Linked DNA regions of Rattus norvegicus. The protein of the gene in region 1 binds, or shares a complex with, the protein of each later gene. Links are inferred from orthologs where the notes say so. Each region holds a gene or a part of one and is shown in the gene's direction. Other genes may lie near its edges.

Evidence for each region. Proteins that work in one complex are often made in the same cells at the same time.
Region 2: the proteins of Eif2b5 (region 1) and Eif2b4 are in contact, whole or in part, in a cryo-EM structure (PDB 7D46), measured with the Homo sapiens proteins. The link is inferred for Rattus norvegicus from reciprocal best matches to the Homo sapiens genes EIF2B5 and EIF2B4. Residues at the interface, in NP_003898.2 of Homo sapiens: Arg163, Lys294, Arg339, His340, Glu357; in NP_001029288.1 of Homo sapiens: Arg357, Tyr393, Pro396, Glu397, Lys466, Arg467, Glu469.

The regions. Positions count from the first base shown.
Region 1 is NC_086029.1:93,905,985-93,910,263, reverse strand, and holds the start of Eif2b5 (translation initiation factor eIF2B subunit epsilon), read left to right. Parts: upstream 1-1,463; 5' UTR 1,464-1,499; coding exon 1,500-1,679; intron 1,680-2,696; coding exon 2,697-2,821; intron 2,822-3,664; coding exon 3,665-3,850; intron 3,851-3,930; coding exon 3,931-4,108; intron 4,109-4,196; coding exon 4,197-4,277; intron 4,278-4,279. UniProt on the Homo sapiens protein: Acts as a component of the translation initiation factor 2B (eIF2B) complex, which catalyzes the exchange of GDP for GTP on eukaryotic initiation factor 2 (eIF2) gamma subunit.
Region 2 is NC_086024.1:30,906,229-30,909,309, forward strand, and holds the end of Eif2b4 (translation initiation factor eIF2B subunit delta), read left to right. Parts: intron 1-247; coding exon 248-375; intron 376-489; coding exon 490-667; intron 668-2,040; coding exon 2,041-2,221; intron 2,222-2,331; coding exon 2,332-2,531; 3' UTR 2,532-2,575; downstream 2,576-3,081. UniProt on the Homo sapiens protein: Acts as a component of the translation initiation factor 2B (eIF2B) complex, which catalyzes the exchange of GDP for GTP on eukaryotic initiation factor 2 (eIF2) gamma subunit.

The DNA.
Region 1 (4,279 bases):
TCACTTCCTCCTGTCTCAGTCGGTGGTGGAAATATACACCCTTGGGTGACCTGTACTACATTGATTTAATTGAAATTTTTTTACTAACCTTTTCCCTCTTTGTACCGACGTTTTCAAAAGCAAATGTTGTTCTCACAGCACCCTCCTTAACTGAGCGAAGAAAGAAATAACAGGTTTCTGAGTTCCATGAGGAATCTAAACTGTAGAAACACAAACTAACCACTCTCTGTGGGGAGAGAGGGCATCTGGGGGAGGTGGGTGGAAGCAACAGAGGGAGTTGCTGAAACCTGCAGGCTGTGGGATTAGCAGAGGTTCTGGTGCTGAATGGGCACAGATTGCTTACAGGAATTTTTTGGCTTGACAGAATTACGCCCAGGCTGTGTGCCATTGCTTCCTCAGCCTTAAGCTTGATTTATAAACTGCGGCCACAGCTTCTTTTCCCGAAACCTGTTGCTCTGCTTCAGCGTCCAGCCTGAAAAGCTTGCTTACTACGCCCCAATCCTACAGTTTACTGCTGCTCTTAGATCCAGCCTCTTCTGTGATAACGCTTGTGGAACTAGGGAGTCAGATGAGCCCCAGCACCAGTCTTTCCACTCACTAGTTGGGCGTGCTTCCTTGGTCTGATTTAAATGTTTAAGAAATGCCCGTGCTTTAGGTCGTATTTCCAGAACGGGAGGAGGGAGGGGACACGGAGGAGGGAAGGGACACGACCTAGCCCATAATCCGCGGGTGCTCCGTAAAATTAACCGCTTGGGGTTGGGGATTTAGCTCAGTGGTAGAGCGCTTGCCTAGCAATCACAAGGCCCTGGGTTCGGTCCTCAGCTCCGAAAAAAAAAAAAAAAATTAACCGCTTGCCTCCACGTTCAGTATTTGGGCAGATCGTGGGTTCCCTCCCAAAGACGACAGATCCCCTTAGATGACTAGAATTGCAAGTGGAGAGCTACATTTAATTTTTAGATTTATGTGGAAGAGTGTTTTGCCAGCTTGTATGTATTCCACAGGCATGTGTCCAGTTGAAAGTGAGTTGGACACCACAGAATTGCAATTGTGCATAGTTGCTTGCCACCACGTGAGCGCTGGGCGCCGAAGTTGGATTCTCTGCAAGAGCAGTAAGTGCCCTTAACCGATGAGCGATTTCTCCAGCTCTGGGCAGGGAAGCTGCAGACTCCTGCCGGGCGATCACAAGCCTACTCAGCTCGCTGCCATCTTAGCTTGCCTAACTCAGCAGCACTCGCTGACCGAGTTTGACAACGGTGGGATCTCACCCCTCCGTGGTAAGTGCACCACCCAGTACCGCCAACTCCTACAAAACTAGCACGGTCTGCCACGCCCCGGCTCTGGCCTTGCACGGGGGTGGGTGGGGCCTGCTAGTATACACATGCGCACTCCTTCCTCTTTCTCTCCTTGCAATCACACCTTCGCGTTTTGACTGCGAGTCCTTTTTGTCCCCTACTGCGTGCGGTGTGGCTTCCCGGCGGACGTGCTGACTGCGAAGCAAAATGGCAGCCACTGCGGCGGTTCCCAGCGCTGTAGGCGGCCGAGCGAACAAACGCGGCGGCGGCTCCGGCGGCGGTGGAACCCAAGGTGCGGAGGAGGAGCCGCCGCCGCCCCTCCAGGCAGTTTTAGTGGCCGATAGCTTCGACCGCCGCTTCTTCCCCATCTCCAAGGACCAGCCTCGGGTGAGGACCCGGCACGCGAGCAACCTGCGGGCCTGGAGGGTAGCAGGGCTACAAGTTGCCACTGCAGCTTGCTAGTGAAGCGTGTTCTGAAAGTTACCATAAAGTTGAGTTTTTCTGGTTGAGAGAAAGTGGAGGGACTGACTGAAACCCCGGTGGCTGTCCGTCCAGATGAGTAGCTAGCAAATATGGATTCTCGCAGGGCTGTCTGCCCAGCCTTGAGAAGGATTGAGAGGGCTGTGTATAGAATCAGTGTTTGAGGGGGTTGGGGATTTAACTCAGTGGTAGAGCGCTTGCCTAGCAAGCGCAAGGCCCTGGGTTCGGTCCCCAGCTCCGAAAAAAAGAAAAGGAAAAAAAAAAATCAGTGTTTGAAAGAAGCCTTCCCAGGGGGATTTAGTAGCGCAAGGGGGCCTCCATTGCCTCTAACCTTGCAGGACATGGGCAATTTAAAAAATGCTTCAAAAAGCGATGGTAATATATACCTAAAGGGAAAAAGGCTAGATCTCGGCCTGGTACGGGCTCTTTTCCTCCCATCTGCTGCAAGGGGAACCGAGTGGGTTCCCCTCAGCCTTGGAACTACCTAGACATAGGACATTGGTATTGGGCTTGCAGACTGCTCGGTCCCTCAGCAAACAGGGATTTGCCTTTTACTTAAGAATTCCTAAGGCTAACGACTGTTCACTTTTGACAAGTGTTTGAATGATTTCTGTGACTCAGTGTCAATAGGAGGAAATTCTATGAGAAGAAGGTCTTAGTGCTTAGAGTTATAGAGCTATGATTTAGGGCCAACATTTGTCCTTAATGTCAGCCCTGGTTTCCTATAACATATTCTGTGTCTGATACCATGTCTACTAGGCCCAAATCTTAGACTGAACCTTTGGGCCTATTTGCTTTAGAATAAAAGGGTAAAGCAAACTGTAGTGTCTGCAAGCCCCGATGAAAGGCACATTGTTGCAGTGGGGTACCTGAAGTATAATAATGGCTTGAAGACCTCAGACTTTTTCATATCCTGCCCTATAGGTCCTATTGCCCCTGGCCAATGTCGCGCTGATCGACTATACTCTGGAATTCTTGACTGCCACGGGTGTACAGGAAACATTTGTCTTTTGCTGCTGGAAGGCTGCTCAGATCAAAGAACACTTACAGTAAGGCTCGGGAATTTTTCCTTTCCATGCTTCACCGTCTTTTTTCCAGTCCTTCCAGCATGGGTTTGACGAGGTAGAGACATGAGGAAAACTGCATCTGTTCTGAGCTCGTGTATGATTTAGTGTTTTCTTCACGTGTCCTGAGAGAAGCTGCTGGAGCTTTCTTTGCCTTGAGGTTTCAGTGATGGAAATCGAAAGGCTTGGCTATGATTTTCTGAGTCTTTCAAAGTTCGTTCCAGTGAGTTTTGCTTTTTATGTTCCAGTGGGTATGTTATTGGAAGAGCATCTTTATTTTCCCACTGAATTTCTAAACACTGTCTGTTCTGACCCCCCAGTGACAGGAACAAGTTCTTTCCCCTTGTCTCCCCCACTGCCCTCCTTAGTTTCAAGCCCACTGTAAGTTCTTAAGAGATGCTTGTTAAAATTTGGAAGAGCTAGTCTGGGAATTTATGAGTTTTGGAAGTAAAGACTAGTATACTGAACATGTTTTCCATGTTACCGTGCTTAAAGTTGATACAGACTCAGAACAAGAAAGATGACTTGAAAAAAAAAATGTGTTCCCAGAATACTTTCATAGCCTAGATTTCATAGGATTTTAAATTCAAACTCACATTTCAAGACGGGAGTCAAGGTATAGAAAGGAAATGGTCATACTTCTCAAACACATAAAACTAATGACACTGGAAGCCGAAACCATTTATTATGGTTCACGCGTCTCTTTGAAGCCAGAGACGCTGGCAGGAAGCCAGAGAAGCCACAGAGGAGTATAAATGCTGAATGGAGGTTAGAGGTCAGGTCTGTGATAGTCTGTTTACTTTATAGTTCCTCATCACTTTCCCACAGGAAATCCAAATGGTGCCATCCTACGTCCCTCAATGTTGTTCGAATAATCACATCAGACCTGTACCGATCACTAGGAGATGTCCTCCGTGATGTCGATGCCAAGGCCTTGGTGCGCTCTGATTTCCTCCTGATATATGGAGATGTCGTCTCAAATATCAATATTTCCAAAGCCCTGGAGGAACACAGGTCAGGTGGGGAAGACGGCAGGGACAAGACTTAGGGACCAGTTGAGTCCTAAGACTAACTCTGCCCCTCCTTCTTTATAGGTTAAGAAGGAAGCTAGAAAAAAATGTGTCTGTCATGACAATGGTGTTCAAAGAGTCCTCACCCAGTCACCCTACACGCTGCCATGAGGACAATGTGGTGCTAGCTGTGGATAGCACCACAAACAGGATTCTTCACTTCCAGAAGACCCAAGGCCTCCGCCATTTCTCCTTTCCTTTGGTAACTGGGTGTCTGGGGAACTCAGGTAGAAGAGGGAGGAGCTTCGAGAGGAGAGATGAGCTAAAGCCTTTGTAACTTCTCCCCTCAGGGCCTATTCCAGGGCAGTCTAGACGGAGTGGAGATTCGATATGACTTGTTGGATTGTCACATCAGCATCTGCTCTCCTCAGGT
Region 2 (3,081 bases), on another chromosome or scaffold:
GGGCCCTCGTCATTGCTTAGGTGAGCACTTAGGCACTTGTACTTAGACCCATTGGCATGGGGATTTTCGTTTTAAGACAGTCTGTGTAGTCTTGGCTGACCTAGAGCTCAATAGATAGGCCAAGTTGGCCTCGAATTCAGAGATCCTCCTGCCTGAGTGCTGGGATCAAAGGTGCGTGCCACCGTGCTTGGGACTTATGGCATGCCAACCAGAGGGTGAACCGCATCCATGTTCTCTCAACATTTAGGCCAAGTCAGAACTTAAAGAAGCCATCGATCGGTATGTGCAAGAGAAGATTGTGCTTGCATCTCAGGCAATTTCACGATTTGCTTCTAAGAAGATCAGTGATGGGGACGTGATCCTAGTATATGGATGGTACGGTCAACACCTGACAGAAAACTAGGGAGGGGGACAGCAGAAGAAAGGTCTGCCCTTGCCTTTGCAAACAGGCTGCTTTATAACAAACATCTCTTCTCCCTCCATATCAAGCTCATCTCTGGTGTCGAGAATTCTCCAGGAGGCCTGGGTTGAGGGCAGGCGCTTCCGGGTGGTGGTGGTAGACAGCCGGCCCCGGCTGGAGGGAAGGCATATGCTCCACTGTCTGGTCCGTGCTGGGGTCCCTACCTCCTATCTGCTGATTCCTGCGGCCTCCTATGTGCTCCCAGAGGTGAGCATTCTCACAGGAAAGCAACTCTAGACATAAAAGAGACGGATATAGTAACACCAACTTAATAGTCTTACCTTTGTTCCTTTTTTTTTTTTTTATTGAGGCGGGGAATAAGGGAATAAGGTGGTGGAGTAGGGAAAGGCAGTGTGCCCCAGTTCCCATGTGGAAGTCAGGACACCATCAGAAGTCAGTTCTTTCTCTTCTTTCTTTTTTCTTTCTTTCTTTTTTTTTTTTTGTTTGTTTTTTATTGGTTTTTAGAGACAAGGTTTCTCTGTAGTCCTGGCTGTTCTAGAGCTCAATTTGTAGACCAGGCTGGCCTTGAACTCACAGAGATTCACCTGCCACCATACCAGGCTGAGGCAGATCTTTCTTTCCACCATTTATGTCCTGAGGCTGGAACTCAGAAATCCAGGCTTCACAGTGACTTTACCCAGTGAGCCACCTCAGTGGCCCTTACTCATTTCATTCATGTATTTGTTTGTTTGTTTATATTTTGGGGAGAAAGGGTTCTCTGTGTAGCTTTTTTTGGAGGGGAGGAGGAGAATCAAGGTCTCATTGTGTAGTCCTGGCTGGCCTGGAACCCACAGAGTTCTGCTTGTCTTTGCTTCCCAAGTCGTGGGATCAAAGGTGTGCACCATACCCAACACTTTTATCCTTAATAGGAAAAAGAAGCTAGCTTCTGGGTGTGGCATTCAGGAGCCCTAGACAGGTGATCTCTGAGTTTGAGGCCAGCCTGGTCTACAGAGTGAGTTCCAGGACAGCCAGGGCTACCCAGAGAAACGCTGTCTCAAAAAGCCAACAGAAATGGTTGGTGAAGTGGCTCAACTAGTGAAGAGCACTGGCTGCTCTTCTAGAGGTCGGGAGTTCAATTCCCAGCAGACGCATGGTAGCTCATGACCATCTGTAAGGTGATCCGATGCCCTCTTCTGGCATTTGGGTGTATATGCAGCAGAGCACTCATACAACAAATAAATATTAAAAAAAGGAAGAAAAGGGGGTTGGGGATTTAGCTCAGTGGTAGAGCGCTTGCCTAGGAAGTGCAAGGCCCTGGGTTCGGTCCCCAGCTCCGAAAAAAAGAACCAAAAAAAAAAAAAAAAAAAAGGAAGAAAAGGCAAAAGCATCTGCTATATGCAGTGCGGTAGTACAGGTTAGCTGTTACAAGAATTATATTAAAGTAGCAGCCATTAGTAGGAATGGACAGTTTCACTGTTCTGTTCTGGGATGATATAAGACAGCAAGGTATTTTCTAAGAGCAGCCAATGTAACCACATTGTTGCTTACTGTTGCTCTTCTGGGCAGGAGTGGGGAACTTTATTATATACTGATATAACAGGACATTTTCCCCTCATTTCCACATTGTCTAAAATAAACAGGTTTCTAAGGTGCTATTGGGAGCTCATGCACTCCTGGCCAATGGATCTGTGATGTCGAGGGTAGGGACAGCACAGTTGGCCCTGGTGGCCCGAGCTCATAATGTTCCAGTACTGGTCTGCTGTGAAACATACAAGTTCTGTGAACGCGTGCAGACCGATGCCTTTGTCTCCAACGAGCTAGGTAAGCAGAATAGAATGGAGGCTTTCGGGGACCTGAGGAAACTTGACACGGGAAGGGGAGGTTAACCACACCTTCTCTAGAAGGACTTTGACGCCCGCTTCTCTTTGCAGATGACCCTGACGATCTCCAGTGTAAGCGGGGAGACCAGGTGACCCTGGCGAACTGGCAGAACAACTCATCACTCCGGTTGTTGAATCTGGTCTATGACGTGACTCCCCCCGAGCTTGTGGATCTGGTGATCACAGAGTTGGGCATGATCCCTTGCAGTTCTGTGCCTGTTGTCCTCCGAGTCAAGAGTAGTGACCAATGAAAGGCATCAAGGGTCAATAAAAAACTTATTCCTTACTGCCATAACTCTGCTGCCTTTGTACCTCGTAAGTCAGGAACCCACACTCTGCGGCCTTCATCACCTACTTGAATCTGTCTATAGAAACCCTTCTAAAATGGTTAGCTCCAGGACAGTGCTTGGAACAAGATGGTTTGACTAGGCAACAGACCTATTCATAGGCCAAGCATGGTAGCGTTCCCAGAATTCTCCTTTAATCCCAGCAGGGGTAGCCAGTCTTTTAAACTTAAAGGCCAGCCTGGTCTCCATGTGAGTTCCAAGACAGCTAGGGTTATAGAGTGAGACTTTGTTTCAAAAGCAATTACTTTTGAGTTGGAGTTGGAGAGGTGGCTCAGTGGTTAAGAGCACTGGCTAAGGGAAGGTGTGGCAGGACAATGGAGGCTGATGTAAAGATTCTGCTCTGTGTATTTACAGGTTGTTATCAATGTTCCTTTTTTTTTTTTTTTTTTTTTTCCGGAGCTGGGGACCAAACCCAGGGCCTTGCGCTTCCTAGGCAAGCGCTCTACCACTGAGC